Linked DNA regions of Arabidopsis thaliana. The protein of the gene in region 4 interacts with the protein of the main gene of each other region in a pairwise test. Each region holds a gene or a part of one and is shown on either strand. Other genes may lie near its edges.

Region 1 (8,119 bases), on a different chromosome or scaffold from region 4:
AGACTTCCGAAACGTAGCGCGACTACTGTTCTCGAGAAATGGATTGGAGAAGGGAATCAAATGACTATCAATGAACTCCGAGAGATCTCCAAAGAGCTTAGGAGAACTCGCCGTTACAAGCACGCTCTTGAGGTACTAACATCGATCATTTCCTTTTTCATTGGTTTTTCTTCGTAGCTCCTAGTTTCTAGATTGATTGCACAATTTATGATTTGTTATGTGTTGCTGCACAAAACTGCATTCTTCTGGGAGCTAATTCAAGTATTATTAACAGGTTACAGAGTGGATGGTACAGCATGAAGAATCAAAGATCTCAGATGCTGATTACGCCTCACGCATAGATCTGATTTCAAAAGTTTTCGGGATCGATGCAGCTGAACGCTACTTTGAAGGTCTGGATATAGATTCAAAGACAGCTGAAACCTATACTTCTCTCCTTCATGCTTATGCTGCCTCCAAACAAACCGAACGAGCCGAGGCCTTGTTCAAGAGAATCATTGAGAGTGATAGTCTCACTTTTGGTGCCATCACATACAACGAGATGATGACTTTATACATGTCAGTTGGGCAAGTTGAGAAAGTACCTGAGGTTATTGAAGTGTTAAAGCAGAAAAAGGTTTCTCCGGATATTTTTACTTATAATTTGTGGCTAAGTTCATGTGCTGCAACCTTTAATATAGATGAGCTTAGAAAGATTCTTGAAGAGATGAGGCATGATGCTAGTTCCAATGAGGGTTGGGTTCGGTATATCGATCTTACTAGCATCTACATAAACAGTAGTAGAGTAACTAATGCAGAGTCTACTTTGCCTGTCGAAGCTGAGAAATCTATTTCGCAAAGAGAATGGATCACATATGACTTCCTTATGATTCTGCACACTGGTCTAGGGAACAAGGTTATGATAGATCAGATTTGGAAGTCTTTGAGAAACACCAACCAGATATTGAGTAGTAGAAGCTACATTTGTGTTCTTTCATCTTATCTAATGCTTGGTCATTTGAGAGAAGCCGAGGAGATTATCCATCAGTGGAAAGAGTCTAAAACGACAGAGTTTGATGCTTCTGCTTGCTTGAGGATCTTGAATGCTTTTCGAGATGTTGGTTTAGAGGGAATAGCCAGCGGCTTTCACTTGATCTTGGTGCATAACAAATGCAGCTTGGAGAATGAAGGATCATCTTAAGATGGAGAAATAAGTTGGTGAAAATTTTATGCTCTTAGCAAGAAGAATCAGATCAAGCTCATTAATCATGGTGGATGAATAAAATAGAGGTTTCTTCTCTTCACTGTGATTCTTAAATATCTTTTTGTTCTTTACGTGGGAGGTCATGAGACACATAGATTTCCTCACCAGAAGATTTTGCTGCATAGTCGGAAGATGTGTTTCCTTAGGCAAGGTCCATAACATTTCATATGTAACGTCAAATTTCAAAAAGTCCAAATTTTACAACAAAAAATAGATTGTGGAGGTTTTTCTTGTATGGTTGTTGTTTAATAATAAGTCTACAAAATTTGTTTTTGGTATAGAAAAAATGATAGTTTGAAAGGTTAGAGCAAAATCCTAGCATGTAAGAAGCCAAAGAAGGTTCCATTATTAACACTCGAGTTTATTACATGAACATGATACACAAACATGTTTAGACCCATGAGAGAAACAACAGAAGCAAATAACATTACAATAGTACAAAACTACAAGGCCTTTGAAGAGCTTAAGAGCCAGAGAGATTAGAAAAAACAAAAAAGATGACAAGTTATGGGATTGATAGCAACAGAAGAGTAATAATGAGACAAGAGAGAGTGGGGACATAGATTTTCACCTAATGAAAGTGGGAAGATTTCAATTTCCACAAGTCACAACCACTCCAAAAATTTCAATATTTGCCTTTTTGATTTTTCTTCATCCACACCCACCACCACCAGACCTTCACAGAGATATTATTATTACTCACGAGTAAAGATAATTATTAACGATCAATGAGCACCAAGACTTTGCTTTTTTCCCTTCTTTCACTTTTCTTCCACTCCAAGCACAGAAGAAAGTGACTTTTTTTTGGTTCTTTTTTGAGAGAGCATGCCAAATCCAAAAGTAAACCACTATTGATCCAGCTAGATGAACAGTGGATACGGTCCCACTAGGGTCACCAGGCGTGTTCTAATTGTTTCAAACCCACGTTAATGAATTTGAGAGAATCTTCTTCATCAGTCCTTTACCTCATTGATTATCTTTTGTCCCATGTCTTCTCTTTAACCAACCAAACATGCCTTATCAATAGGACAAAAGGGGTTGTAGGTTTTTCACCAATGGTTATTCAAACCCTTTGATGAGTTTAAGCTTTGCTTCAGCAACTTGAGGTAATCAATGGCTTCGTCTAGTAGTAAAAGAGCTTCTTTTCCCTTTGCCCCTGGAACTACACTCTCCAGGATTCTCAGAGCGGTGTGAATCTTGTCTTTTCTTGACTGCTCGTCGCTCAAACCAGAACCCGTTTCTTGTTTGCTTGAAATGTTTGATTCAGGAAGGTTTTCATCTGATAAGCCTTTGACTTTAGTGGTGCCCACAAGGGATGGTGATGAGTCTCTGTACGAATGGTCCAGTAGTTTCTGTCTTTTAAGAAGTGGACCATCAACAGTGCTTTCAGTTTCATCCAGCTCTTCTGTTGTTATGTTGCACGCTTGTTGTTCAACTGTGAATGGAGAGTGACCAGTGCTCATTACTTCATCATCACTTTCCCAATCATCATTATCGTCATCATCAGAATACAGTAACGCGTTGATTTCCTCAGTGTCTTCGTGCATTTCCGAGTCTTCTTCGCCATTTTCATGATCTTCATGTTGCAATATCTTTTCTTGAATGGCATGATCTTTACTAAACCCTTTCTCTGGGTGTAGGGCACCGAGAATGTTCCCTCGCTCTGCATCCATAGAAGAAGGAAACCGCAGAGGAAATCCACATTGTAACAAACGAGTCTGCTCTCCCGACTGATCGAATACTATAAATCTTTTCCGAGAAGACTTGAGTGCCCCCTCTGGAGCAGCACCGTTGCTAGATCGCCCATTCAAACATGAAACTTGTTTTCCACAAGACTGCTGATCATATCTAGACAATAAGGCTTGGAACGGTGGCTGCAAATAGCGAAACTGATGCTCAGCTGCATAAACTTTACCGAGTTCCGGAAAAGGAATTCCAGGACGGAAATACTCAGTCGCCTTGTCCTGGACACAAGCTTGAGGATTTAAGCCTAATGGCAACCATTTCTGCTGTTTGGTATCAAGAGGCATGCTCTTGCAGTTTAAGCCAAGGGAACTTTACAGGAATACAATACTGCACGAAAAAGGAAAGGGACTAATCATTGGACATGGCTATGAATGAGACAACTACTAGTAGCCCAACTCAAGAAAGCAATAATCCATAAAGAGTCAAAGATTCAGTTAGCATACCGATTGTGGAAGCTGTTGCTCAAATGTGTGGAACGCAACACTTGTTGATTCTTTCTTGAAACAATCGTATAAGAAAGTAGAGACAAAAAGAAAAAAGGTGCCAGCTCCAAAAATACAAACACAAGCTCACAAACCAACTACGTCACTGGTTTGAGTATATGTCTAAAGTATTCAGCCTGCAAGTGGAACAGAGACAAAAGTGTTAGATAAGAAACACAGGACTATGAGATGAAATGTGACAAAAAAAAGAGTATAATATCATTTTTGCTGCAACAAACCTGACAATTATCCATCGGTTGGAAGCAAGCAATAACTCTCACTACAATTGTTGGTCTGCTAGAGTCTCCGTTGTTCTCGTACTTGAATGTTCGAAATCTTGTTTGACCAGCTGATTGACTTACCATAATAATAACTTTTCCAAACTCTCGAATGTAAAACTAGTGTTTCTCCACAGAACAGAGTAAGTCACCAAAAGACAGATGACTTGAAGAAGAAAAAGAGAAGCTTTAAGGGTTTAGATGATCCTATACTGGTCACAGTGGAAAACGTAGAAACGTTGGGATCCCATTATTAAAGAGTTTAGAAAAGGCTGAGGATTTAGAAGAAGATTGAAGATGGGGTTTTTCAAGGCAGAGAAAAAGTTTACAGAATAACTCGGCAATACAGATTCAAGCTCACAACTTTACGGTACACATCAACAGACCTTGTGAACCAACTCATGCTGTTTTTCTCATTCACTGCTTTGTTGTGATCCAGAGAAAGAGAGAAGAATTCTGTTACAAAACAGAGAATCATCTCATCAAATTCCAGTAATAACAAACCAAAGAAACCAAACATTCACAACAATTGAAAGGATAGAGAAACCATAAACAGCAGAAGAAGATAAGTACATGTTCTGCAGCATTGAACAAGTATAATTTATTTTAGCAAAATCAAGAACTAAAAGCTTGGATTTTGCAAGCCAAGCTACGAAAATAGAAGAATTTATCCGTTTTGGTAACGATTTAAACACATTTGCATCAAATTCGCTGATAATTCAACTTTTTCGAGGAATAAAAAAACAGAGAGAGCACAGCGACAAACAATGGTTAAGTGAATCCAAGAAGCGTACATGGAGGAAAACAGAGGAAGATCTATGCGTGGAGATCCAGAGAGAGTGGAGAGGTTTATGAGACGAATTCACGAAAGCTTGAACGGATAAGAAACGAGAAAGCGGAATATTATTTCGAAAATATATTTTTAGCAAATTCACTAAAAGTGGGCGTGAAGACTGAAGTGTGTGACATTGCTTTATACATCTTCTTATTTCTTGTGACGATTTTACCCTTTTCCACCACTTTATTTACCGTCAATAATGGAGACCAGGAAAAGAAAAAGAAAAAGAAAAAAACAGTTCACATCAACCAAGTTTATTTCAGATTTTTTTTTTTTTTTTTTCATTTTTCTTTCTCTTCCAAAATTTAGATAACCAAGCTGGAACATCAACTCTAAAAACTCATTTGAGCAAAACATAACACCATCTCCATTGCCCAACTTTATTTTCTTCTATTTTAATATTAACTCAATTTAAGAAGAAATATAATTAATTTTACTCTATTATATATTTTAGAATAGAGTTACTACTAAAATAGAAGAAAAATGTAGAGATTACTCTATAAATAGAACAAAAGACAACTTACTCTATATTTGTTTTCTATTTTAGAGAAAACTTTATTTTAGAGTCATACAATGAAATAAAATACCTTTAAAATAGAGTCAATTTTAAAATAGAAGAAAAAATAGAATTGAACATTGGATATAGTCTTATTATTTTGATTTTTTACTATTCTTTTTAGTAGAAATTAAAACTAAAATACACTTTAGTATGAGTTTCAATTCATATTTCTAACACATATTTTTTATAAAGAAAAATTAAATTTATTTAATTCAGTTCAATTTAAATTTATTTTAGAAAATACATATAGTATAATTTAAAATGCATATAATTTTGAATTGAATGGTAGAAATAATCTAAATATTTTTATTAGTTTGGATGGTTGCAATGGGACGAGGAGTAGAGGAGGTGGAACGTAGAATATATGTAATTATGATGTATAATGGCAAACCCTCGCGATCCATAATTTCAAGCCATAAATTAATAATTATGTAATATCATAAACGTGAGAATTTCTTAGTAGTTCGTTAAAGTAAAGCCATTATATGTTCGTCTTCTTTTTAACTTTTTTTTTTTTTTTGGGGGGGGGGGCAACGTTTTTTCTTTATAATTATGAGCCAAATAGTGGAAGTGAGTTTTTAACCATTTTGGTGGTTTCTATAATCATTATTTTTAAAGTATTAACCTTTCTTTTTAGGTGTGTGGGTGGGATGATTTGGAACATTTATGTCTTTACGATGACGCGATACAAATTGAACTATATACATTGTAACATATTTGACTAGTTTAGTAGCTAGCTAAATAATACAATATTTTTGACGTGGCTTATAAAACACCAATTTAGCCCACTCGTTTTTTCATATATAATTACGAACTATTGTACATGATATTTTAATAAGTGATTGAGGTGAAAAACGTTGGAGCATCCACCAAATTCCATGATCATAGGAGAAAGAAAAGAAAACGAATAAAGAGGTAAGCAAGTTTGGTGAAAGAAGAAAAAAAAAGAAAAAGAGAAAGAGACGCAAGTGAATGATTAAAAAAATGCACAGGGAATTAAGTGCTTAATTGCCTTGATGACTTCTTTTTCTTTTTGGAACATTTTTTCTAAAGATTTTAATTTCTCGTTGAATCTTTTTTCTTTATTTTGATGTGATATGAGATTTGAGAATAGTCGTTGCCGTGTGAGATCAGTGGACCCAAATGCCTACTATGTACTTCAAAATTCTTAAAATTTTAGGAAACAATTATTATGTGTTCTATTCGGAAGCAAATCATTGAAACATGTTAAAAGAAAGACAGTTAGATAGAAATTTCAGTGTGAAAAAACAAAACATAGAAATTTCAGTTCACATAATTGAGACTGGGCTTTGGTTAGATGAGTGGAGTGGCCATGCAAAATGGAGCCTAAACATGGCCTTGGACTTATTTTGGGCCATGTCTCAGCTTTGGATAACTCTTATACAATCTCATAAAACAAACACCAAATTGCCACCAGCTTCAAACTCAAGTAAAAAAACTTTAGAAAGATTTTATTTCTCTTTTATAGAGATAATATGATCAAAGTCAATAAAAGAAAAACATTATTGTTAATCTTATTTTCTTATAATTTTTTGCATAATTTCTAATTTAGATTTTTACAAACAAACAAAAGAAATTGTAATTTAGAAGCGATATTTCATATTTTCTGTCAACCAAGAAAATAGAACATAGTACCCAAAGAAAAAAAGGAATATACCAAATGAAGGTCCCCAGCAAAAGTATATCCCCCAAGTCCAAGAGACTTGGACCGTCCGAAAAAGTCCCTTTGCTTCAATCACTATCAGTTTTCGCATTTACTAAAAAAAATATTTGTGCAAATAAATAATTTATTTTTATACAAAAATCTCTAGTAAATATTACCTTAATCGCTATATAATTATTTTCAAAATATTTTAAACGTATATGAAATGTATGAAGAAATATGGGAATCTCAAACATTTATTAACCTAACTACTTGAAAAAAATTAATCAAAATTTAACGTCTTTTAACAGACCACGAACTTGTTCCAAGGTAAGGAACAAGATCATCGTGAACGGTCCTTGCCTCGTCGCCGTCGGAACAAGCCCTTTGTACAAAGCCATTGGTCCTTCCTCTGCCACCATCTTCACCGCACAATCCAACGGTCCACCGTAAATCTCCTTATCCGCATTCATCATCCTCGTCTTCACAACGTCGATGGGATTCGACGCCACCGCCGCGACGATCCCCGCCGCAAAACTCGCCGCTACATGCGTTCCTATCCCTCCCGGCGTTCCACGGCCACCAGCTACCAAGATTTCTTTGACGTGATCATACGTAGCGAGCTGAGAAGCTGTCACGATCATGGCACGGTTCACGGTTAGCCATGAGCCACGCCATAAACTTGAAACGCCTTCTTGCCTTGCGATCCTGTCGATCGCGTCCACGACGCTCTTGTAGTTTCTGCGACGGTTTAACGGCAAGCTTCCGTCGGCTTGCATTCTCACCATCGCCACGTCAGCAGGATTCCCGACGACTGATCCAACGGCTCCTGCGATGAGTCCAGCTGTGATCTTGGTTACCAATGGGAAGTTACCTGTTTGGAATTATCGTTTACGTTTAATTTATTTGATCTTTTGTGTAATAATATGGAAAAAATTCGAACCAAACAAACCGAAACTGTTTAAGATCGAAACCGAACCAGCATTTGTTTATAAATCCATTGGTTTTCTTATTTAAAACCAATAACCGAGAACTGTAAACGACTTTTAGTGTAATCAAACCAAACCAAACCGAATAAAAACCAAAATTATTTTTTGAGTAATATTGTTGCCGATCGAGTTTAGTATTATTACCGGTGAGTTGATCAGTCCACCTTCGTTTAAGAAAGTCGTATATACCCATACGGGTGGCAGAGTAAAGCATCTGACGGAGGATGGTGGCGGAGACGCCGGAGAAGAGAGCGGCGGGTCCTTCGGTTTTGACAATGTGTGCCCCTACGGCGAAAGGGGTCATGACGGAGCGCGTGGAAG
Region 2 (6,946 bases), on a different chromosome or scaffold from region 4:
GACAGAACAATGGCGTTGATTGGAATGAGATACCTTGAGCCTCCTCATATCATTCTCCGCAAAGGACTCATTGCTGGGATTGAGTATCCTTTCCTCGCAGACCACATGTCTGATTACATGGCGAAGACTCTCTTCTTCACTTCTCTCCTCTATCACGATACCACAGAGCACAGAAGAGCAGGTTCAAAACCCTCACATCTATTTTATTTACTAGTCAATGTTATCGTGTTGCTTGTAGTGAGTGTCTTTTGTGTTTGTGTAGTAACCGAATTTTGTGGTAATGTGGAGTTATGCCGATTAACGGAGCAAGTTGTGTTTTCGGACCCATATAGAGTTTCCACATTTAATCGTTGGACTTCACCTTATCTTGATGATGATGCTAAGGCTGTGCGCGAAGACAGTGCCTTGAAGCTCGAAATCGCAGAGCTAAAATCGATGTATGTGTTTTCTCATTTCCCGGTAATTTCCGCTAGGATTTGCTAGTATCTCTGAACCACCATTGTGTATTATGTTGTTAGGTTCTGTGAAAGAGCTCAAGCTTTAATACATGGTGATCTTCATACTGGTTCTGTCATGGTTACTCAAGATTCAACGCAAGTTATAGATCCAGAGTTTTCGTTCTATGGACCGATGGGTTTCGATATTGGCGCTTATCTTGGTAACTTGATACTAGCTTTCTTTGCACAAGATGGACACGCCACTCAGGAAAATGATCGAAAAGTAAGCAATTTATTCAGAATTCTGATTTGCAGTTTTTCTGTCTAGGCATCGTCTACACGGTTGCAAGTACATCAGTTTAAAGCAACATGATTCTATTTTCAGGAATACAAGCAGTGGATCTTGAGAACCATTGAGCAAACTTGGAATTTGTTTAACAAAAGGTTCATTGCGCTATGGGATCAAAACAAAGATGGACCAGGCGAAGCATACCTTGCAGATATCTATAACAATACCGAGGTTTTGAAGTTTGTTCAAGAAAACTACATGAGGAATTTGTTGCATGACTCACTCGGATTCGGCGCTGCAAAGATGATTAGGTGAGAGAATCTTAGTCCATGAGATTTCTTTGTCGATCATATAAACTCAGAAACGTTGTTGACAGTGTTGGTTTGATGATATGGCAGGAGAATTGTGGGAGTGGCACATGTTGAGGACTTTGAATCAATCGAAGAAGATAAGCGAAGAGCTATTTGCGAGAGAAGTGCACTCGAGTTTGCGAAGATGCTTCTCAAGGAAAGGAGAAAGTTTAAGAGTATCGGTGAAGTTGTTTCAGCAATTCAACAACAAAGCTAAGACAATTTATAATGTTCTTCTGCTGAAGTTCTTGAAAGTCTTGTTTTGATCTTGGGAGTTAATTGGCAAGAAAAGTATCACAATGCTGCTTATCACATGGATTTGTAATTTAGTGGTTTGTGGTGGTGATGATGGTATTCAAATGCATTTTGTTACAATAATAATAATAAAAGTTTAGAAATATTTTCACTTTTGAAGATTATCTACTTATCTTTATGAGATTTGACTTCCACAATCTCTACTGGTTCACTGTTGGTGTGACTGGTGAGTGGTGACAAGATGGCAGAGGACCATAAATCAGCACCGTTAGTATTCGCCACGTGTACGGTCCAAGCTAGTGGAACAAGACATAAACCATTGCTTCTCAACTCTTTCACTTTCATCGTCGGGTTTACTTCTCCGGTGTCTTCGTCGTCCTGACGACACATCAACTATTCATCAGTCACAACACCGTCAAAATAGTAATCTTTTAAGTCTTAAAACAGTCGTTTCGAATCATGGAAAAATAAATATCTTCCGGTTTTATTGATAAAGACATAGAGTGTAACAAAAAAAGAGGATACCAAGAAAAAAGTGTAACAAAAAAATGAAATAAGATAATACAAAAGGATGATGGATGACTTACAAGAGGGTTATGTTTGAAGTAAGGGGTTGAAAGAACTTGAACTTGGTCTTGTAAGAATTTTATGTAACCCATTGTTTCATGCAACACTGATGCTGCATCTGTCTATTCAAATTTTCCAAATTACATTTTTCTTAGTTAAAATGTAGAAAGTAAACTAATTTTAATTACCAAAACACATAATGTACCTCCAAAACAGTAAAATATAGTCCGTGAATATCTCTCTACAAGTAAAGGTTTCAAGCTAATACCAAATGACGTAACTATAGTAAAAGTTTCAAGTTTACATCAAAATTTAATCACCTAGATTCAGGGTTTTGATTTTAGTTCAGTATTATGTTGATAAGAGATATATGAACCAAAAACAAAGAGAGAAGGTAACTTGTTTTAGTATATTGATCCACCTTGCCATATGGAGAAACCAAGTGCTGCAATGTTGTGATTTTTTCACCAACCTTTTCTTTCTTGACCTATTTTTATGAATAGCATTTGTTAATTACTATTATTCACCCAAATAGCTGATCCATTAGATAAGTATACATAAATATACACACTTTTAAAGCCAAACCTTAGCATTTCCAAGCGATGACTTCTTCTGATCTCGCTTGCATCTCTTACCGGGTTTTGGATCGCAAACCCGGTCGTGCCCATCAGCCGACCCGGTTTTCTTCTTCAAAACAAAGAGACAAACATTAAACAAAATAAAAATTATACATTATAATGATCTTGTGTTTGACTTGTTGCATGCACTGATGCATATACTTTTTAATGATCTTGTCACTTTACTTAATGACCTTAAAGCTTGGCTAAAATTTCAAATAATATTAACTGTAGGAATGTTTTACATATATATAACTTACATTGGATCTAAAAGATTGATCATTGACCACACAGGCGTTATTGCGTGAAGAGAGAGGGGAAGCGGGAGAGAAAGAGGGTTGTGAGAAGAGCAGATCGGTGTCGTTTTGGTTTCCTCCGCCGAAACAGAGCATTTGAGGAGCATCGTTTCCGGTGAATCTGAAACCAAAGCTGTCTTCTTCTACTTCACCGGAGCTAAGGACATCATCAGACATCATAAGAACATCAGAGAAGTTCATGACACCGTCTTCTTCGTCCGTTGTGCCTCTCATCGTAGAGTTTTTTTTTCTTTTTCTTGCTTAGGCTTGTTTGTGGAATTGACAGAGAAAGAAGAAAACAAGTGAAAAGGTGAGAAACCAGAAAAGAATAGTATCAATAAATGTATTTTAATAGTAAAAAAAGAAGATGAAAAATTGCATAATTTCAGTTATAGCAAGTAGCAACAATAGTTAACTATGATATTACATCAATGGGATAAGTTGGTAAAGGAGAAATCAGAAAAATGGTAAGGCAACTTGGCCCAAGAAAACTGTTGGTTTCTATTTACTCGAAATGATGAATTTTGTAAAACAAACTAATCAAACACAAAATGTTTACGGATAAAGATATTAAAATCCCAATAGAAAAGCTCGAGAAACTCACATTGATGTAAAACTCTCACATTTTGAATTAAAAAACATACTATTTTTTTCATTTAAAATAATAATAAAAAAGTGTGAAAACTGAAAAATTATTTTTACAAAAATAAAAAAGACAAAGATGTTTGACATGCGCGAAGAAGAGTGAGGTACGTACAGCTGCAAGACCACGCTAAATTTAGGAGGGTTGACAGAGTTGAGTAGTCCACAAGTTTAGTTTCATTTTTGGACACTTAAAAGGCTTAGGATACAAGTCGTCACTGTGTCTGTTTCATTGCTATGGTAAATTAACCAAAATAAGTAAATAACCATCCATAACTTTGACTGCTTCAGGCTGAACCAAATCAGTGTGTATGGCCTGTTTTCGTATCAATCTTTACATTAAGAGCAAGTCCATTGGGAGATCCTTAACAGTTTTTAACATAAATCCTTAAGTAATTTTGGAAAAAAATAAATCTAAAATGTGATTTAAACTTGGGATCGCACCTAATTTTAGAGTTTTTTCAGTTGTTAAGGTGCGCATACGTGGCAACTAATCATTGGTTGTGTTTTTTTGACAAAACTTTTTTTTTTCTTTTGCCGTGTTTTGTTTTTCAAATCGATTTTCCTCTCTTCTCTTCTCTTGTTAACTCCGGTGGCGATTGAGCGATTGGTGATCATCATCATCACGCGTTTATATCATCAAATTGGAAGAGATTATCGACGGAATTTGTCTCTTATCCATCGTGCTCATCATCTCAACCGACGGTGCTCAACGTCGACTAGTTTGGTGAACTTAATCGGAGAGGACTGTGAACCAAATCGGAGATGGGGTTTGTCACTTTTCGGGGTCTCTTATCTCAGTTGAAGTTGCTTTGTACCAGTGTTGTATCAAAAATTCAGAATCATTATCTTCTTTGCATCTTTTTGGAGTTATCAAGGAATCAAACCCATTTTATCATTGCAGGTAACGTGGATATATGAAGCAGATGTTTTTGGTGAATGATAAGTGCTTAACCATGATTGAACCACAGAAGAAATGGTCAAAAAGAATAGAAGAATTGATAAGTGCGTTACTTAGATTTAGGAGATCAAGCTCCACGTTTCCATATTCCCACTTTGTTAATAATGTTCTTTGTTTTTAGGATTAGTTGTCGATCCCCTTTGCTTTACTTTGTGTACTTAAAGACTGCCAAGTTATGAGAAGGAATTAGACTTGATTTGCCAAAAGAAACTTGTGTTTGTGTTGTGTGTTTACACATTCTCTTAGCTTTGAAGAGGGACCACCTAACAGGGAATCAGAGTTTTGTAAATAGAACCGTCACGGTAACGTCGAAATATTTTTTGAGTCAGAGACATTGATGAGTACATGAATCCTAATAGCTTTGTGTATAGGAATTGTCCCTCCGTAAGATGCCTTGCTCATAATTTCCTTAACCTGGTAAGTTCTTCACATTGCTTATTTCAATTGATGCTTTCTTATGGTTAGAGATCTCAAAAATTTTCATGCTTAATATTTCGAGTTCTAGTCACAATTATTTACTTTGATCCTTGTATACGATTACATCAGTCGTGTCTTTAAGTTCTCTGTAGTTGAAGCTAAGTTGCGTTAAGGGCTTTTAAATAACATTTATTTGGTGATTTATGAGTGTTTGGTGTTGTATGTGATTACATTTGTGGCTAAGAGACGAAATGTATGTATGTTTCAATCTTATGTGGGTTAGGGGTAGAAGAAATCATGGGATTGGTCGAACTAGGCCTGGTTAGATTCTTGTTGATCTTCAGATGGAGAACAAGATCACCAAAGACATGGCTCAGGATGAATTGGAAACTTGAGCAGAGTCTAGAAGATAAATATAGTTCCTTGGACTTGATTTTGTTGGTTTTTATTTTCTCTGGAAAAAAATGTTGATCTTTTAAGGTTTCTCTGAAAATCCCTAATGAGATTCTACCATTGGAGGAGGAAAAAATAAGAATCTCCTTATGAAGTCTTTAACTTTGAATTATGCAAAAAATATGATTAATATATTGAAAATCCTTAATTAGGGACTCTACCAATGGGGGTGTTCTAAGAGACGTTAGTTTTGTTCTCTTAGTGGAACGCGTCATGTTATTTTCTGATACGGCCCATTCAATATATACTTTTTTTTATCCCTTTTTCTTTTTAATACAAAAACCAAGATAGTGCAAATTTCTAAATATACAATTTTATTCTATCTATAATTGCAATTTTCGTTTCATGTATTTAACTAAAAAAAAAGAAGGAAAATGTATTTCAATTTTTGTAAAATTTTATATGTATTTTTATTTTATAACTATTAACTGAATAGCATATAATTTCAACTATAAGTGAAACATTACTGATCAAATAACATGAACATGTAGTTGAGTTTAATATTCAACTAGATTTTAACCCACGGTGTAAAAAAAACTGAAAATTTTTTTTTTTTATAAATTATTTATATGTAACATATTATTTTGTATTTTATAAATATATAATTCTAATTTTGATATATTGTACAATCCCTTGATTTTATCATGGGATACACCATAAGTCGATTTTTAAATTATATATGTTTTTGTTAAGATTGTTTGTTTTGTTATATATTTTAAATTATATAACTGTATTTTAATTGTTAGTTATAGGATTTCACTCATTGTATACCGTCTCGTATTACTATAAACCCAAATCCGTCTTACCTCAGTGAAATTAAATATATTTAATGGATTTCACCAGTGATATACTGTCTCATATTACTATCGATCCAAACCCGTCATACCATCTAACCCCGTTCAGTAAAATAAAACATTATTTTATTATTTTTGTTTTAATAATACTTTAATTTAAAATATATATAATTCATATCAATTTAAAAATTTTATTTGAAATGCTTATTTAATTGTTATAAAGTTCATATATTATAATATTCTAAATCCGTTCTACCATCTAATCCGTTCGGTGAAATTAAATATTATTATTTTATTTTTTGTTTAAATAATATTTTTATTAAAAGATTTATAATTCAAATCAATTTAAAAGGTGTCTTTCAAATGATTATTTAATTTTTATAGATTTCTTATTTTATAAATATTCTAAACATTTTTTCCTATAAATATTATAAACGTTTAATTTAATAAATACAATATTTACCTTTTAATAAAGTATAATATTAATAATGTTGTGAATGATTATGTGTAGCTAATTTTAAGGAATTTGATTTGAAGTTTGTTGTTGGGATTAAATTTGAATGATAACGTGATTGATATTTTAAATCAAAAATTAAAAATCAAATCAAATAATTAAAAATTTAATGTCAGTAGCATATCATTGTAAATAAGTTTCAACTATAGGATTTATTTTACAAAATGGCTGCAAAAATGTATATGTAAATGAAAAGTTGGAAATAATAATATCTCGCCTAGTTAATAAGAGATATCAGCCAATATTTTTTATTGTCAGTTGGTGTTAAGTTGAAAGTTCGTAATTAAAATCCAAACACGGTTTAACATGATGGCATGTGATTTCTTGAAACATTCAATCCAAAATATACCTCTC
Region 3 (8,469 bases), on a different chromosome or scaffold from region 4:
AAAAGATCTCGAGCTGTTGATTAACAAAACCATCTCAAAAAGTTCACAACCTAACCTGACCTCGTCTCAAAAACATCTCAAAAAGTAACAAAACCATCCGTTACACAACCAAGTTTCTGAAAAACCAAACACCAAAGAAAAAAAAGAAGCCCTACGTAAAACCGCCTGAGAAAACTTCTTATGTTGAAGCCGAACGCCTCCTTGTCACCTGGCGCGGCACTTGGACCGGGAAAGCTGCAGCTTCGAGAACCATCGCTTCCACTTCACTCATGGTAGGCCGTTCAAGTCTCTCTGCCTTTATACACATCCTCGCAGTATCAAATATCTTCTTTAAACCTTCAACCGAGTACCTATTACCGAGCGCAACATCAGCTTTCACAGGCGCATCCTCGATCCTATCCCATACTCTCAAAAACTGCAAAAAAATAAGAACATCCAAACAAAACTCAGCTAATCTACTAACTTCCATAACACGAAACGTGTAAAAGGTTCCTAGATACAAAAGTTTTAGTCATACCCAATCAGTGAGATTCTTTTTCCCAGCAGGATTATCCGAATAAAAAGGTTTCCTTCCGGTGAAAAGCACTAACAGAAAAGCTCCATAGCTATAGACATCAGTCTTAGTCGAAACCAACCAGGAAATCTCTCCTTCCGGTGCAATGTATCCCATAGATGCCTTCATCGGAATGATCCGTTGCTGCTGCTCAACACCGTTTTCATCTTCAACGATTTTAGTCGCCAATCCAAAATCTGTCAGCTTCGGAACAAAATCTGCATCAAGTAATATGTTTCCGGCCTTGACATCTCTGTTAATCACTTTCAGCTCCTCGTGTAGATAAACCAGGCCCTTGGCTACACCCACAGCAATTTTCATCCTCGTGTACCAATCCAAAACCCTAATTGGTAGTGTTAGACCCTTAGGTCGCGGACCCTCCACCATCGTTTTGTGTGCTACAAAAAACAGAATCAATTAGGTTTAGAAGCTAAAACAGAGTCATCAATTAGGGTTTGATTGAGTTTTCTTTACCAAAGATGTGACGCTCAAGATCTCCGTTGGCCATGAATTCGTAAATTATAGCACGGTTCCTTTGGCCGTAACAGTTGCCAAGAAGTCTAATCACATTTGGATGATTAGTTGCACGTAACGTTGTAACCTCTGCCAAGAACTCAACATGACCAGTTGGATTCTGTGGATTTTGAACCTTTACCGCTCCATCCTAATGAAATCAAAAGTTTCAGACTTTAGAAACTGGGTTTCGATTATTAAGCATAAAGGACATGACCTTTGGGTCTATATACCACATTAAGTCTTGAGAAATAGCAGCGATGGACTTCGCCGAAGTTGCCTTTGCCGAGATAAAATTCGTCCCGGAAGTTTATGGTTCCGTTTACGAGCTCACGCCATAGAAATGATTCTCCACAATTATCAGGTAGAGGTGGAGATACTGGTAACAGAGCAGCAGTCGGATCTGCAAATGAATTACCAAAGGTTAAAGATTGAACAAGATACTACTTTCACTTGCAAGAATGTGACGAGACCAAAACGAAGAAGTAAGAAAGAAACTCTTAAAATACAGAGTTGCGTAAGATACAAGAAACCCAGAAAACAAGAAATCTCGATTTCAAGAGATTGAAGAAGAGAAACGAAAACGGAACCTGCAACTTCACGATCGTCAGGGAGTCGGAGATGATTTCTCCAAAGATGATTGAGGCGCTCGTTATTCCCAAATAGGCGCTCGACATCTACTTCGTCGTTCTCGTCGTTACCTTGCGCTGCGTTACTTGAGCTTCCTCCTTTGAGACAGCATAAGAAACGTTTCATCGTAGCGATCAACGAAGATGAATCTTTCTTGAGATTTTTTTCTTTTGTTTTCCCGAGAATCTTTTTCCCGGAAACAAGTAATTAAACAGAGTAAGAGACTCTCAACGAGAAAACTAGAGCGAGAAAGAGAATGAGAGAGGTTTGGATGATGAGAACTAAAAGAATTCGCCGGAGGATATTTATATAGACGGGAGATTATGCGCTCTAATAATTCTTAAAAAAATTAGAGAATTAAATACTCAAATTATATTCATAAAACACACACACTAATTAATGAGTAACATTATTTATTGAAATGTTAATGAGTTATTGTTTTCAGAGAAGAAGTACTATAGCGACATTATTATGTTTGTAGAATAGTAATGACGTTATTTAAACAAGACTACTATCTGTTTTTGGAAATGGAAAAAAAAAAATGCCACTTTGTGAAATTTTCTTCTGTTCTTCAGATATTGGAGGTGGATCTCTCTTCTATACCAATTTTGTTGTTCAATTGTCTTCACTTCCTGATTTATGATCATCCCTCCTAAAGGCAAAGGACTCCATGTGAGTACATTACTATATCAGGATACTTTTCGAAACATCTAGAGGGAGAAATCTTGGAAAGGATTTGAACTTACTTGCGAATGAATTGACCTTTGACGTGAGGCCGTTGCTCAGCTAGTTTCTTCCTGCTATGGTACCTAACCTAAAGGATACCAAAAAAAACGTTAGTTTCGTCTCAGGAAACAAGAGCTTAAGCTTGTTTAGAGCTTACCTTTTTCTCAAAACATCGCTCTTTACGTTTAAGGCGAAACTTCATCAAAGCAGCTTCTCTTTGTGCCCATCGGTCACTTCCACTAGACTGCTGCTTTAAAGGATTGTCACTGCTTGAACTCGAACCCAACAGTTTTGCAATAGGACTGTCATGAGGAGAACAACTTTCCACATTTTCTTCTGGAGCCTAACTCAGCAAAAGTTCAAAGTTTTTGATGAAACCGGCATAAATTTCAAAGACAGCGCCAAGCATCATGAAAAGTTACCTTCTTAGCAGAAGTAGCACCATTATTGTATCTGCATATCACAAGAGAACCAATAACTCCAAATCAGTCACAGGTTCGACATTTCATTTGCAGTTAATGTCAAGAACTTACTTTGAGAATGCAGAGAGATTTGAATGCCTCAACACACTTCGATCACCGACTTTGTAATCTCTATCCTCTCTTGTTTTTTTCAGAGTTTGCTCGAGTGATTGCAAATCTTCTCGGTTAGATGAAGGTGCTTTGCTTTCTACTTGTGAGTTACCAGAAGAGCGATTCAGCGTGTCATCATTGTTTCTCTCCAAAGCTTGAACAGAATACTTTGCATTCTTTTCAAGATCTCCTGGTTCTTCAGCTTTCTTACTCATAGACATTCCTGTCTGTGATCCCGTGCCTAATACAATATCATCTAAAGTCATTGTTTTGAATTAAAGTAAATCAGAGAGAATCTCAAGGAATTGTTCCACAAGATCAGTGTACTCACATTTTAATTGACTAATTAATTTGCGTTCTTACCTATTTGTTCCTTCTGATCTTCAGCCTCCTTCAGTCTATTAACATGTGCACATCCATTTTCATAGGTTCCTTTCTTGTTGGGTGCATCGGGAAATTGATTTGAAGGCGAGGTGCTCTTAGTATCACTGGCTCTTTTTGTCCAAGAACTCTACATATTTTTATAAATGCAAAACCAATCAAAAATTTATAAACCGATTTATTCAGACATTGTTATTATCTATAGCCATAGAACAGATTACCTGAGTTCCACTCCCGTTATCACTCCCACCATCTTGGTTACTCAAACCACCACTACTCCCACTTTCATTCCTGTGTTCATCACTGATGCTGGCATCATTTTCTGACCCTTGGGTGCTTTCAGGTTTCACCGACTTCTTGTCATGTATTCCACTCTCACTTCCGCTTCCGCTAGACTGGTAAATCAATAAACGCATAAGTAAGAAAAAAACACAGAGTAACTTTTGTAAAACAGGTAACCAAATCAGAACTCTTACGCTGTGACATCTTCTCCAGACATGTTGCCAAAGATTCTTTAGTTCGTTCTTTCTAATGGGTTTCACGAGAAAATCAACAGCACCATTCGACAAACACTTAAAGACCAGAACCATAGAATCATGTGATGACATCACTACAAAAAGAAACATCACATCTTGAGTTACACAAACTGAGCATGGCATATTGAAGCTGGATAAACAAAAATTTAATCAAGGATTTGAGTAAATACTTATGACGGGGATGTTCTTAAGTGTCTTATGGCTCATAATCTTGGACAGCAGACCGGTTCCTGAATGCACAGGCATGTCAACCTCTGTTAAGACAAGATCAATGCAACTTTTCTCATCTTCTAGAATTCTCCAGGCTTCAAGGACATCCGGAACAGCAGTAACTGACAAAAAGTTTCCAAATTTACAACTGTTAGTCAAAAGCAAAAATGTGATTGCTAAACAAGGATGATCAATTCAATATAAGAAAACCTTCATAGCTGCAATTCTTTAAAAGGGCAGTAACAATATGGCGTGTTGAGTCATCATTCTCCACCAGAAGAACCTTAAGCGATCTAACTGGGAGATACCTCTCCCACTTCACAACATGAGCTAGCGGTTGCTGCTGTTGTTGAGAAATCTGTACATTGTTGGTATTTCTAGCAGTATCTTCAACTCGAAATTCATCTTCTTCAGATGAACCAAACACTTGCCTCTCGGTTTCCACTTCATCACCAGTTTCAATGTTATTAAAACACATTTTTAGAATACTAATATCTCATGAAAGTGTCAAGACCAGCCTCCATGAACAAGATAGAATAGAAGCAGCATCAAGTAACAGCTAAGATTCTGCAGAAACTTCCCCTCTACACTGACATAACACTTGCACATTTCTTCTTTCCCCAAACTTATTCTAATCCCTTCACCAAAACCTCAGCCCAATAAGAAACGAGAAACAAAAAAAAAAGCAACATTCCGTAAGAAGATCACAGTCTCACACCAGAACCAAAAAATAAAAAACTGAATTTGGATAAATCATCAAACTTGTCCAAAGAAAAACTAAACAAGCCAAATCAAATTTCAATAGTAGCACACACTCAGCTTTAGAAAACAATCTGAAACTTGTTGTTTCTAAAATCAAAAGCTATCAATGTTCCAATGGAAAATTATCACAGTACTTGGTAAGTAGTTAACAAACTTTGAACACAGTTTCTTTTATTCATTAGATGATTGTAAAGATCTCCTACTTTCTCAAATTTCTTATAAACTCTACAGAACCAGATACAAAATCAAACTCTAAGGCTCTAAGCTATAATACTTAATGAAATAAGCACAAAATTCAAACAGCAGCAGATTGTAAAAGCGACAAGACAAACAAAAGCAAACCTTTTTCACATAATCCATTGATGAACACCACCACCACCAGAATCTCTCACCATATCTGACTTGAAAAACCAAATTACAACCAAAAAAGAACAGATTTTTGCTTAATCTGATTTGCTTAGCATTTAATCACCTAATCATTCAAAAATGTTTTGATTCGTATCTATTTTTCTTTTACCAACAACTTTACAGAACCAAATTGCTACTAAAATAGAATAAAAAGAAAGAAAATTTAAAAAACTTGATAGAGAATCAGAGGAAGAGAAGACTGGGATTTTTTGGGAGGTGGTAGAACAAAAAGGTCAGAGAAGATATTATTTTGGAGTTTGATGACGTGGCAGAACTAACCTACGTGTCAAGTAGGACCAGATAAATTTACGCATGCTGAGATTAGTGACGTGGACAAAATCAAAAGCTTGGACTGCGAGGGGTTGGTTTAGACTTTAGAGATTATCGACATGTTAAATTATTGTCGATTTACAACAAAACAAATTACATATTTCCATTTGTTTCAGATAGATTATTATTATCTTCACACACCAAAAAAAGATAGATTAAAATCATGACAGTTACGAAAATGCAAAGAAAAAAGGAAAATTGACAAAACAAAAAGGAAACTCCACCAAATAAGTTTCCTTTTCCTTTTCCTAGTAGTAATCCGAGTTGTGTAATTGTAACTAGAAAAACAAAAGCCCTAACTTTTCTATAAATACTCTACGCATCACCACAGATCTCTCATTCACAAGTCTCTCATACTTCTCCCAAATCACACAAACTGATTAAACCCTTTTCTAGAGAAATTTCTGTAGATCATCAAGAGATTTATCAATGGCAGTCGCTGATAATCCCTTTTCAATGTCGACCATGTTCAATGCTTTACCAAACCCTAAAGGAATCTCCGGTTCCATTCCTCCTCCTGGATTCGCCCCACGCGCCTCCGCCACGCCCTTGCACGCAGCTCTGTTCAACCTAATGACTGACGGCGATGGTGTGTCTTACTTTAAAGAGATGATCTCAAATTCAGACAAAACAGAGCTTCAGAGGATGGCCTCGTTGCTTACGTCTGACTCCGATTACTTCATGTCGATCGTCACAACCAAGTTCGGCTCGAGACGCGTGCAGAAGCTCCTCGGCAAATCAGATGACGTGGACGCCTTCTTCTGTGCCGCTATCTTGCGCCGCTTCCTCCACATCACGACCGACAAATACGCATCCTACGTGACGATACGAGCCATGGTCGTTTTCGACAAGGTGATGAAAAAGGCATTGTACGAGCGCATTCTCTACCACGCTCTCGACCTAGCGTGTGACCAGCACGGCTGCATCGCGCTCAATGATATCATAACCGACGCTGACGATCCTTACTACAGAGATCAGCTACTAGAATTGGTCGCATCCAACGCTCTCCGGCTAAGCAACGATGCTTCAGGGAACTTTGTGGTCCAACATGTGCTTACACTGTATGACTCGCGTTGCATTCACAACATCGCCGTTAATCTTTATGGTCAGTGCATTGAGCTATCGTTTAAGAAGTATGGAAGCTACATCGTGGAGAAGCTTTTGGAGGTGGAGGAGTCAATGGTTGTGGTGGTTGTGGAGCTTTTGGGTTGCGATGGAGACAGGTTGATGAGGCTGGCGAGGAATGAGTTTGGGAATTTCGTGGTGGTCAAGGCTCTGAGATTCACCAAGATGTCTAGGATGGATCTGTTTTGGGGTTTGGTGCAGAAGCTCATGCCTTTTATCCGTCTCTTGCGTAGATCTCACGGAAGCAACATTGCAAACATCTTGGACTCATTTAGGCTTCGTTGCTGATTATAACTCTGTGTTTATTTTTCAAACCAGCTTACAATAGTTTAATTGTTCCGGTGTTCAATGTAGTTACATAACTCTGGTAAGAAAAGTGTTTCGTCATAAACTACTATTTTGTTTTGTAAAGTTGGAGTTCTTATGAAGAAGAGTTTACACAATTTGAAAAACGAAATTGGCTAATACATTTCTTCTTGTGTTCTTATTTCTGAAAACAAAACAAACCTAAATCGAGAGCTGTAAACGAATACACATTGCAAACTTCATCAACACCTTATGAAAGAAAAGTAAATCATATTTGGTGCACTAAAGATAAAATCGCACCTTGCTCAGTTAAGGAAGCAGCTTCCCTTCCATTCCATTGTATGGCTGCCTTGTCACAAGCCCAAAGTTTCTGCTAGAACCATTAGCAGGAAAATCACGAAGAGCATACAGCTTATACTCAGATAACAATCTTATCAAGATAGATACAAATGTCTCATAGCCATCAGAAATCTCTAGATATCACAAACGGATCTTCCTGCTAATGGTTCTAGCAGAAACTTTTTCACATTAACGAAAAATAACCAAACAAACTAATGAATTCAATAAGTTAAAAGCTTTTAATAGAGTGGCACATCAGAAATCAGCTCACAGTTGTAAAACCAGTAAGTTAAAAGCTTTTCTCTGTCTCTGTGCCTCTATTATTTAGGACAGTATTGTCATTTTCTTATATAGAATTGACCGAAACTTAGGCCCATATATCGTGTTCCCGTGGGCCTCTAATGACTAATTTTCGAAAACGATGGCGTTTTAGCAGTGTTTTTTTCTTTTTCCAATTTGAAGCCCTACAAGTATAACAATAGAGAGAAACCTCTGTTTTCCAAGTTTTTGCTACAAATGTTCTATGAATACAAGTCAATTAATGTAAAAAAAAAATTAAAACTCGCATTAGTTAAAATCTTTATAATTTGACATTAATGCTCTCATTAGCAAGTGACAAGATCAAATCCATTTTATCTAGGGATCATCGCAGTTAATCTTTATGGTCATTGCATTGAGCTCTCGTTTTAGAAGTATGTAGTAACTTCTGTATGCGGAGGAGTCAACGGTAGTGGTGGTTGTGGAGCTTTTGGAGTGCGACGGAGATAGGTTGATGAGGCTGGCAAAGATTGAGTTTGGGAATATCGTGGTAGGCAAGGCACTGAGGTTCTCGAAGGAGATGTCTAGGACTAGGATTGATTTTTTTTGGGGTTTGATGCAGAAGCTCAAGCATTTTTCTCCATCTCTTGGTGTAGGTCTCAGGGAAACAACATTGCAAACATCTTGGACTCATTTAAGCTTCGTTGCTAACTATAATAACTGTTGTTTATGTCTTAAACTAGTTACAATACTTAAATTGGTCGGGGGTAGTCACATATATAATAATATAACTCCTGTAAGAGATGTTTTCGTCTTTAAC
Region 4 (7,923 bases):
ATTCTTGGAAGTGATTCGAGGAGCTTCAATGGCGGCACCGATCAAACTACTTCCGGTAATGTAAATTCCCCTAAACCATAAAGAGAGAGAGCAAAATAGTTTTCGTAAGCATGATGATTTCGCAAATCAATGGGGAGAAGAAGAAAAGGATTTATACCAGGCAGCACCAAGAACAGAGACGCCGATGGAGATGGCGATTCCGATGGCGGAGAAAGTGTACGGGGAGATTCTCACCAGAGCCGCGCCCCATGAACTCGCATGAATAGCCACACCGGACATTTTCTCTCTATCTCTTTGATATGAATGAATTTGATTTGTCTCTTTCTCTGTCTTTCGGAGGAGGAGATGATTAACAGAGCCTGTGCGATCTGAAATTGAGCAACTCCAAATCACGCGCTGATGAATGCGCGTGAATTCAATTACCATCGTATAGGCCTCGTAAGCGATACGAATAGCCCACTTTGATCGGACTATTGGGCCTTGTTCCTCATTTGAATATCCGGGACAATCTCGTTGTTCAGAGTTTCACGATAAAATAGTAACTGACGATGGCTCACTCAGCCTCATCACTAGACTGACTTTTCCAGCATCCGCAAACCGATAAGTGGCGATGTGGTCAAAGCCGACCCTCGAGTTTACTGCATATCTAACATACGTCATTCTGCAAGAACACAACATATTCGGTAAACGCAGGAATTGGAATAACTTTCTAGTTACAAAACAAATGAGACTGAAGCAGAATTATTATTATGCAAAAGTGACAAAAAAATATATCCTACCAAACAATAAATTATTGTATGCCGCCTCATGTTATAACTTACTCAAATTGCGAGAATTTAACAGAACAAAACCTCCAAACCCCAAACTATAAAATTGTAAGAAAAGACAAAACAAAAACAGAGAAATCAATCATTCGTCACCATCCTCATGTCCCCCAATTAGTTTCCCAAGCCATCCAAGTAGCTCTGTAAATCTTTTAAACCCTCCGCCGAGAAGCTTCTGTGAACTCTCAACCTCGGCGCTACCAAGTTCGGTGGTGGCTGTGGCTGAAGACACACAACCACTGCCGTCACATTATCAGCACTCTTCCTCTTCAAAGCTTCCTCAACCAGCTCCTTACTACACATGACCGGGTCATTGTGCTCCTGTAGTCTCCTTCTGGCAAAATCTACAGCATTCTGGCTCATGAACACATCCCAAACCCCGTCACACCCAATTATAAGGAACTCATCCTCTTCTGTTAGTTTTGTTGTCATGAGCTCAGGCTCTGCAATTAGAGGTCCACAATCAGAACCATCTTTCTTCTTCTTCATGCCTTCCATATGAAAGTCACCTAGCGCTCGAGCCACATTAAGTTGTCCATTTAGATAGCCATCGAATACATGTCCACCCGATGCTTCAATGCGTCTCCTTTCCTTACTGCTCATGGGTTTGTGGTCTCTTGACATTTCAATGGCTTTTCCCTGACGGGATAAGACTGCTCTGCAATCTCCAGCGTTTGCTACCACCAACGACCTGTTACCACAAAACTATATGTTAACACGGTACCAAACGGTTTCATACCAGAATACTAATAGAGTATGAAATGAGCAAGTATATACGTGACTCAAAGACCATATGAGACAATAACTACATTATAGCAGCAGCACATATGGGCAGAGAATACATCTACAGGCGAATTAGTTGTACATGATTGTGTTAAAGGTCAAGATTATGCACACTACGCAGTTGAGGATAAGCATCTATTCCCAAACACGTTTTTCTTTAACATAACCAAGATGTAAGAGTTTAGGTTAGACAAAACTAAAAGATAATAAGAGTTGAATCAACAAACCTTCCAAAAAGAATAGCTGCCAAAGCAGTAGTTCCTGAAGCAAGGCTCCCATCCAATGAACACGCCTCTAAGAAGGCAGTGTCTGTTTGAAGAAATGCTGAAGATAACACCTTATTGATTTCACTAGGAAACTCTTGATCTTCAACAATGTACCTCGGTATATGGTGACATGCAAACTCAGCGGCATGCTTCCCACCATGTCCATCAAATACCTAATAACAAACAAAATTCAATAAGAGATCCCCATATTTTCACTACATTCACAGTTGTTTGCTTATGCTACAAATCTACAAAAAATCAGGAAAACTGAAGAAAGAACATACCCCATAGAAGGCACTTGGACCAGCCTCAGAATTCAGAAGGCCAAAGCTATCCATGAAATTATCAACGCATAGATAAGCATCTTCCATGCTTGACCTGGAGCCAATATCAGACCAAGCTCCAGAACGCGTAGCAGGAACAAACTCAGACTTGTTCTTCTCTATAGTAAACTCATTCTCAACAGATATATCTGACACCATTGTCTTCACCTACCAAAATGAAAATCAATCAGAAAACCTCAAACATCTCATAATGACACATTAAAAACAGAAACTTTCTACCTTAATTATACACATTAGGAAACCAATAATGATCAAATCCAAAAGCAGAGCAATAATTACAAAACCTCAACTTAAATTGATCATTCAATACACAAAATAAACCTAACTGATCCACAAATCAAGTTGAAGAGAAACGAATCTTACGAGAGATGAGTGTCGAACCAGTGACCTCTTATTACACGGCGCCAACGATCGCTCGCCGTCGAAGGTTTGCCTGTAAACGGCAGCAGCGGCGGAGGAAGAAGAGAAGGAGAGTGGATTCGGCGGTTTACCGCCGTAACTCGAACTCCCATTCTCTGGATCAGAAATTCCTCTAGTTTCTTCCATATTGAAACATCATCGTATAAAAATTCAATAAGCAATTATGGAAACAGCTGACGAGTCAACTCACGAGTGAGCGAGTCGATTAAAAACGATTTAACGAAGAATGTAGCTTTAGATGAGAGATTCGTAAACAATGGATTCAGAATCGAAAACAAAATTGAAGAGATTGTTGAAAGGTTACACGAATTTCAGGGTTTAAGAGAAAATTAGGGTTTTGTGGAAGAAATTGGAACACGCAGAAAGAGAGAGATAATAAAACTGTTCGCCGGCGGAGGCGAGAAATATGAGTCCGACGGTTATTTAAAAGGCAAAAAGAAAAAGGAAAAAGGAAAAAGGAAGCTTAACATAAACACGAAACGTCGGCGTATTATTTACTTTTTCTCTTTGCTTTTTTTTTTCCTTTTTGTTTTTGAAGTGAGAGATTTTTTTTCTTATTAAAAAAGGGATATATTTACAGTTTATATGAGAAGTAAACATAGTATTTTGAAAAATAGCAAGAAAGGAAATCTGAAATTTTAGACTAATAGCAAAAAGATTTTGAGTTAAGTTGACAAAATTGAATTTTAGTAACTTGGGACCTTTTTTACATCTTTTTTATATAAAAAAAGTCGACACATGAGATATTACTTATAAAATTAAAAATACATTATTTTCATGAATATTTAATAGAGTTTATGAATTTCTCACATATGTTAATTATTAAGTGCTGAAAAATGTTTAATTGTTTTTCTGTATAAATGTTAAGTACTGAAAAATGCTTGGAATGTTTTTCTATATTTATATCTCTGCTATTTATATGTGTGATTTAGTGTTATTTAGGGCATTAAATATAAGATATTAAAATATTAAATTTTTCTATAATTTAAAAATAAGTAAATAAACATGTTGTAGACCGTAATTGCCAGATTATTTGTGCTGTTTCCTAAATACTTTTACATTCTTTGATGGTCACCAAATTAACTATAAGAAAAATTAGGACTCAGTCTCATTAATTTTTCGGAAGAGAAAAAGAATCAGTCTCATGGTAGTTGTTAGGAAATATTTGAATATTGTTTCGCCATTAGAAACTTTTTATGTGGATTTTTTTCCTGAAAACGATGGTTACTATTAATTAAACGGACCGACAAGAACCTTGTTGACGTGGTAACAAGTGATGACACATGCTAATTGGCCATCATTGTCAAATAATTTGTTCGCAAGGCGTGATACGTGTACGTTGTTATTCAGACGTAGCAAACAGATTCACGACTTTTGTTCAATTTGTCTTTGTATGGAGTATGGACCTAACATCTCCAACGGACCAATGCTATTGGGTCAAGTCCATCTTTTCTAGGTTAAGTTCATTCTTTGGGCTTTAGTTAAGTATAGAGAAAGAACATATTGGAAGAAAAATTTAGATGTGGTTTGTATTGCATGCGCATATGAAATGTAATAATTTGAGGATACATATATAGTAAGAAAAAATGAGTGACCCAAGTAAGAATGGGTTAGTAGTTATATATATGTTGGAGGTGAAAGGAATAAAATAAAATTTGTTCTAGGTGGATTCTTAAGAAAAAGAAGGAAACGAAAACAGAGGAATAACAATGGCAGGGAGAATAAGCTGCTGTCTAAATCTTCCTCCCCTAGATTCAAATTCTGCACAATCATTAGCTTCACTGCTCAAGACAACGTCAAAGATCTCTTGGTATCTCTTCTATTCATGAAAAGTTATTATTTACCTGATAATTTTTCATATCAATGATCTTTGTTCTTTTATTGTTTAGTAGGAGAACAGAAAATGAGACAGAGCCACGGAAAAACAAGTGTTCTTTTGTCTTGGGGGTGGCGGCAACTGTCGTAATCGGCGGGATTCAGATCAATGATGTTGCATCAGTGGAAGCTGCGGTTGTGAAATCGCCGGTAGAAGAGATGGCTGCGGGTGTGGTGCCGCCGCGGAGGTGGAGTGACAAGAGGACGTGTCCGCCTTGGCTTGAGAACTCGCTAGAGACCATCGTACCGGAGAATCTTCCTCGTCCGTCTGCTCATCGACGTTTGGAGTTAGCCGGATTAGCTAAGGGTGATGCACCGCCGGTCGGTGTGGTGATGACACGTGTCAACAGGGGTGGTTGTTTCTCCGTGTAAATTGGAAGTTCATTACGTGTAAGGGAGATTGTTAGGCAGGTGTAAAAAAAGTCAATTAGAAACAAATAATACACACAAAAACTATTGTAGATATATTAAATTTTAAGTATTTGTTTGTGTAGTTACTGATGACAAAACATTGAACCAAACTGGTCTTTAATTCATGCAAAATTTTCTTTGAGGATGCCATTTTTGATTTTTGGTTTAAATCGAACCGTATAAAAATAATTAACTCATTAAATTCATTGAGATCTTTATGTGCACGATTAGTTTTGGTCCGTCCTTTTTTTCTTTGTTTTGTAATCTTGTATCCTACCAAATTTTGGGAGTTTTCAGCTTTGTGTGTTAAAGTAGTACTCTATTGGATGTGAAATGAAAGAAAAGTAGTACATGCGTGTAGTACAAAAGAAAAACACTCCAAGTACTTCCTACTGAAATGAGTTGGCCTATTATCGATCCAAAGTGAAGCCCAACTCTATGTCACTCCAACGATTAGTTTGATTTCGGCCTCGTATTTCAAAGTTTAACTACAACTCTACAAATTTCACTTCCATGTCGGACCTTCAATAATTTAATTTCTTGATGCTCATGTTCTTTGCTTTTACAAGAATGGTGAGAGAATAAAGGGAGATTAGCCTTAGCGAGAGAGAAAAGACTCGTAGCATGAAGAGAAGAAGAAGAAAAAATTGGTTTTGCAATAAGAGACCTACGTTAACAAGAAAATGGACACAGCTTGATCATCTTATGCAAATCCACACTCACGATTTTCTAAAACTAGTTTGAAACTTACAGAAAACATTTTTTTTTGTAAATTTCTTAGATATTTCAAATAACTCTCTCGAGACATAAATCATAAAGACGATAACTAGTTAAGATCATTGTGAATAGTTTATAATGGATTTAACAAAAAAAAGAATAGTTTATAATGGAGTCTTGAGAGAGTTATTTGAATTATTTTGGGAATTTACAAAATTGTTGGATAAAAAAAGTAGTTACAAGAAAAAGGAAAATATTTACAAGTGTGTTTCTAATTTTTTCCTACTAGAAAGACAACTAGATAAGATCATTTCAATAGTCTTCTATTCACTAATTATGGACAAGTAAAAATTAAAAGATTTGTTACACCATCTCTATCTTACATTTCTCTATTTATAGATTCACATACCCAATGTAAAAACAAATCTCTTGCCTATATAACTCTAGACATAATTCATTATATTACAACAAACAAAGATTCAATAATCAAAAGAAAAATTTAGAATGACAAGTAAATATTTCTCCGTACTAGTGTTCATCATCTTGGCTTCCAATGAAGTTGTTGCCAAGAGACACTCTTCAACACCTAAATTAAGAAAAACTGATTTCCCAGAAGATTTCATTTTCGGAGCTGCAACCTCTGCGTACCAAGTTGAAGGAGCTGCTCAGGAAGATGGTAGAGGACCTAGTATATGGGATACGTTTTCTGAAAAATACCCAGAAAAGATAAAAGATGGTAGCAACGGATCTATTGCAGATGACTCTTACCATCTTTACAAGGAGGATGTGGGTTTATTGCATCAAATTGGGTTCAATGCCTATAGATTCTCCATCTCGTGGTCGCGTATTTTGCCTCGTGGGAATCTTAAAGGAGGAATCAACCAAGCTGGTATTGACTATTACAACAACTTGATCAATGAGCTTTTGTCTAAAGGAATTAAGCCTTTCGCAACCATTTTCCATTGGGACACACCACAAGACCTTGAAGATGCTTACGGAGGATTCCGTGGGGCAGAAATTGTTAATGATTTTCGCGACTATGCCGATATTTGTTTCAAGAGCTTTGGAGATCGAGTGAAACATTGGATTACATTGAACGAGCCATTAACAGTGGTGCAACAAGGATATGTTGCAGGTGTTATGGCTCCAGGAAGGTGTTCAAAATTTACAAACCCTAACTGCACCGCCGGGAATGGAGCCACCGAGCCTTATATCGTTGGTCACAACCTTATCCTAGCTCACGGAGAAGCAATCAAAGTCTATAGAAAAAAGTATAAGGCTTCTCAAAAAGGTCAAGTCGGTATAGCTTTGAATGCAGGTTGGAACTTACCTTATACAGAATCAGCTGAGGATAGGTTAGCCGCGGCACGAGCCATGGCTTTCACATTCGACTATTTCATGGAGCCGCTCGTGACCGGTAAATACCCGGTTGACATGGTTAACAACGTAAAAGGCGGTCGCTTGCCTACATTTACTTCAAAACAATCTAACATGCTTAAGGGATCATATGATTTCATTGGCATCAATTATTACTCGTCTTCTTATGCAAAAGATGTTCCTTGCTCAAGCGAAAACGTTACAATGTTCTCTGATCCTTGTGCTAGCGTCACAGGCGAAAGAGATGGAGTTCCCATTGGTCCAAAAGCTGCATCAGATTGACTTTTGATATATCCAAAGGGAATTCGTGATCTTATCCTCTATGCAAAATACAAGTTCAAAGACCCTGTCATGTACATAACAGAAAATGGGAGAGATGAAGCTAGCACTGGTAAAATCTTACTTAAAGATGGCGATAGAATCGATTACTACGCTCGACATCTCAAGATGGTTCAAGACGCTATCTTGATTGGAGCAAACGTTAAGGGCTTTTTTGCATGGTCGTTGCTAGATAACTTTGAATGGGCATCGGGGTACACGGTCAGGTTTGGACTTGTTTACGTGGATTTCAACGATAGACGTAAGAGATATCTTAAGAAATCGGCTCACTGGTTCAGACATTTATTGAATGGAAAAAAGGAGAATTGATGAGATATGCAACATTCCAATATATTAACTAACTAGATTAATACATGCACAATGGTTTGTTTGGAAAACAACTATTGTTAATATACAAATAAGGTTTGATTTTACTGTATTATATCAAACTTAAATCTCAAAAATAGTGGTTTCAATGTAAAACTTGTGCACACTAAATTAAATGGAATAGTATGCATTTAAATAAAAAAATCAAGAATTTTCATTCTTATTTCGGCCTTCTAAAATTAATTAATTAGTTAAATTAGT

What was found.
Region 1: the proteins of DBP1 (region 4) and AT5G09460 interact in a two-hybrid assay, tested with the Arabidopsis thaliana proteins (one large-scale study listed by BioGRID).
Region 2: the proteins of DBP1 (region 4) and AT1G49830 interact in a two-hybrid assay, tested with the Arabidopsis thaliana proteins (one large-scale study listed by BioGRID).
Region 3: the proteins of DBP1 (region 4) and PRR3 interact in a two-hybrid assay, tested with the Arabidopsis thaliana proteins (one large-scale study listed by BioGRID).

What each region holds. Positions count from the first base shown.
Region 1 is NC_003076.8:2,942,145-2,950,263, forward strand, and holds AT5G09460 (transcription factor bHLH143), read right to left. Parts: upstream 4,696-8,119; 5' UTR 4,544-4,695; intron 4,206-4,543; 5' UTR 3,711-4,205; intron 3,609-3,710; 5' UTR 3,433-3,608; intron 3,317-3,432; 5' UTR 3,274-3,316; coding exon 2,293-3,273; 3' UTR 1,594-2,292; downstream 1-1,593. Other genes in the region: AT5G09450 (Tetratricopeptide repeat (TPR)-like superfamily protein), read left to right, coding at 1-132, 275-1,180; DIC3 (dicarboxylate carrier 3), read right to left, coding at 7,097-7,683, 7,943-8,119.
Region 2 is NC_003070.9:18,443,615-18,450,560, forward strand, and holds AT1G49830 (basic helix-loop-helix (bHLH) DNA-binding superfamily protein), read right to left. Parts: upstream 3,159-6,946; 5' UTR 3,046-3,158; coding exon 2,776-3,045; intron 2,586-2,775; coding exon 2,484-2,585; intron 2,386-2,483; coding exon 2,320-2,385; intron 2,021-2,319; coding exon 1,919-2,020; intron 1,737-1,918; exon of another isoform or gene 1,710-1,736; coding exon 1,497-1,709; downstream 1-1,496. Other genes in the region: MTK (S-methyl-5-thioribose kinase), read left to right, coding at 1-181, 263-437, 519-720, 823-1,037, 1,125-1,293.
Region 3 is NC_003076.8:24,195,904-24,204,372, forward strand, and holds PRR3 (pseudo-response regulator 3), read right to left. Parts: upstream 5,462-8,469; 5' UTR 5,226-5,461; exon of another isoform or gene 4,760-5,225; 5' UTR 4,600-4,759; coding exon 4,332-4,599; intron 4,244-4,331; coding exon 4,082-4,243; intron 3,986-4,081; coding exon 3,597-3,985; intron 3,506-3,596; coding exon 3,358-3,505; intron 3,236-3,357; coding exon 2,956-3,235; intron 2,876-2,955; coding exon 2,845-2,875; coding exon of another isoform or gene 2,812-2,844; exon of another isoform or gene 2,766-2,811; coding exon 2,580-2,765; intron 2,511-2,579; coding exon 2,443-2,510; intron 2,349-2,442; coding exon 2,312-2,348; 3' UTR 2,095-2,311; downstream 1-2,094. Other genes in the region: AT5G60090 (Protein kinase superfamily protein), read right to left, coding at 179-415, 518-951, 1,028-1,217, 1,300-1,469, 1,657-1,822; PUM18 (pumilio 18), read left to right, coding at 6,051-7,034. UniProt on the Arabidopsis thaliana protein: Controls photoperiodic flowering response. Component of the circadian clock. Controls the degradation of APRR1/TOC1 by the SCF(ZTL) complex. Expression of several members of the ARR-like family is controlled by circadian rhythm.
Region 4 is NC_003071.7:10,902,216-10,910,138, forward strand, and holds DBP1 (DNA-binding protein phosphatase 1), read right to left. Parts: upstream 3,053-7,923; 5' UTR 2,764-3,052; coding exon 2,581-2,763; intron 2,365-2,580; coding exon 2,158-2,364; intron 2,047-2,157; coding exon 1,835-2,046; intron 1,516-1,834; coding exon 939-1,515; 3' UTR 780-938; exon of another isoform or gene 662-779; 3' UTR 501-661; downstream 1-500. Other genes in the region: AT2G25610 (ATPase, F0/V0 complex, subunit C protein), read right to left, coding at 1-70, 158-426; AT2G25625 (histone deacetylase-like protein), read left to right, coding at 4,347-4,447, 4,527-4,884; BGLU14 (beta glucosidase 14), read left to right, coding at 6,145-7,266, 7,318-7,665.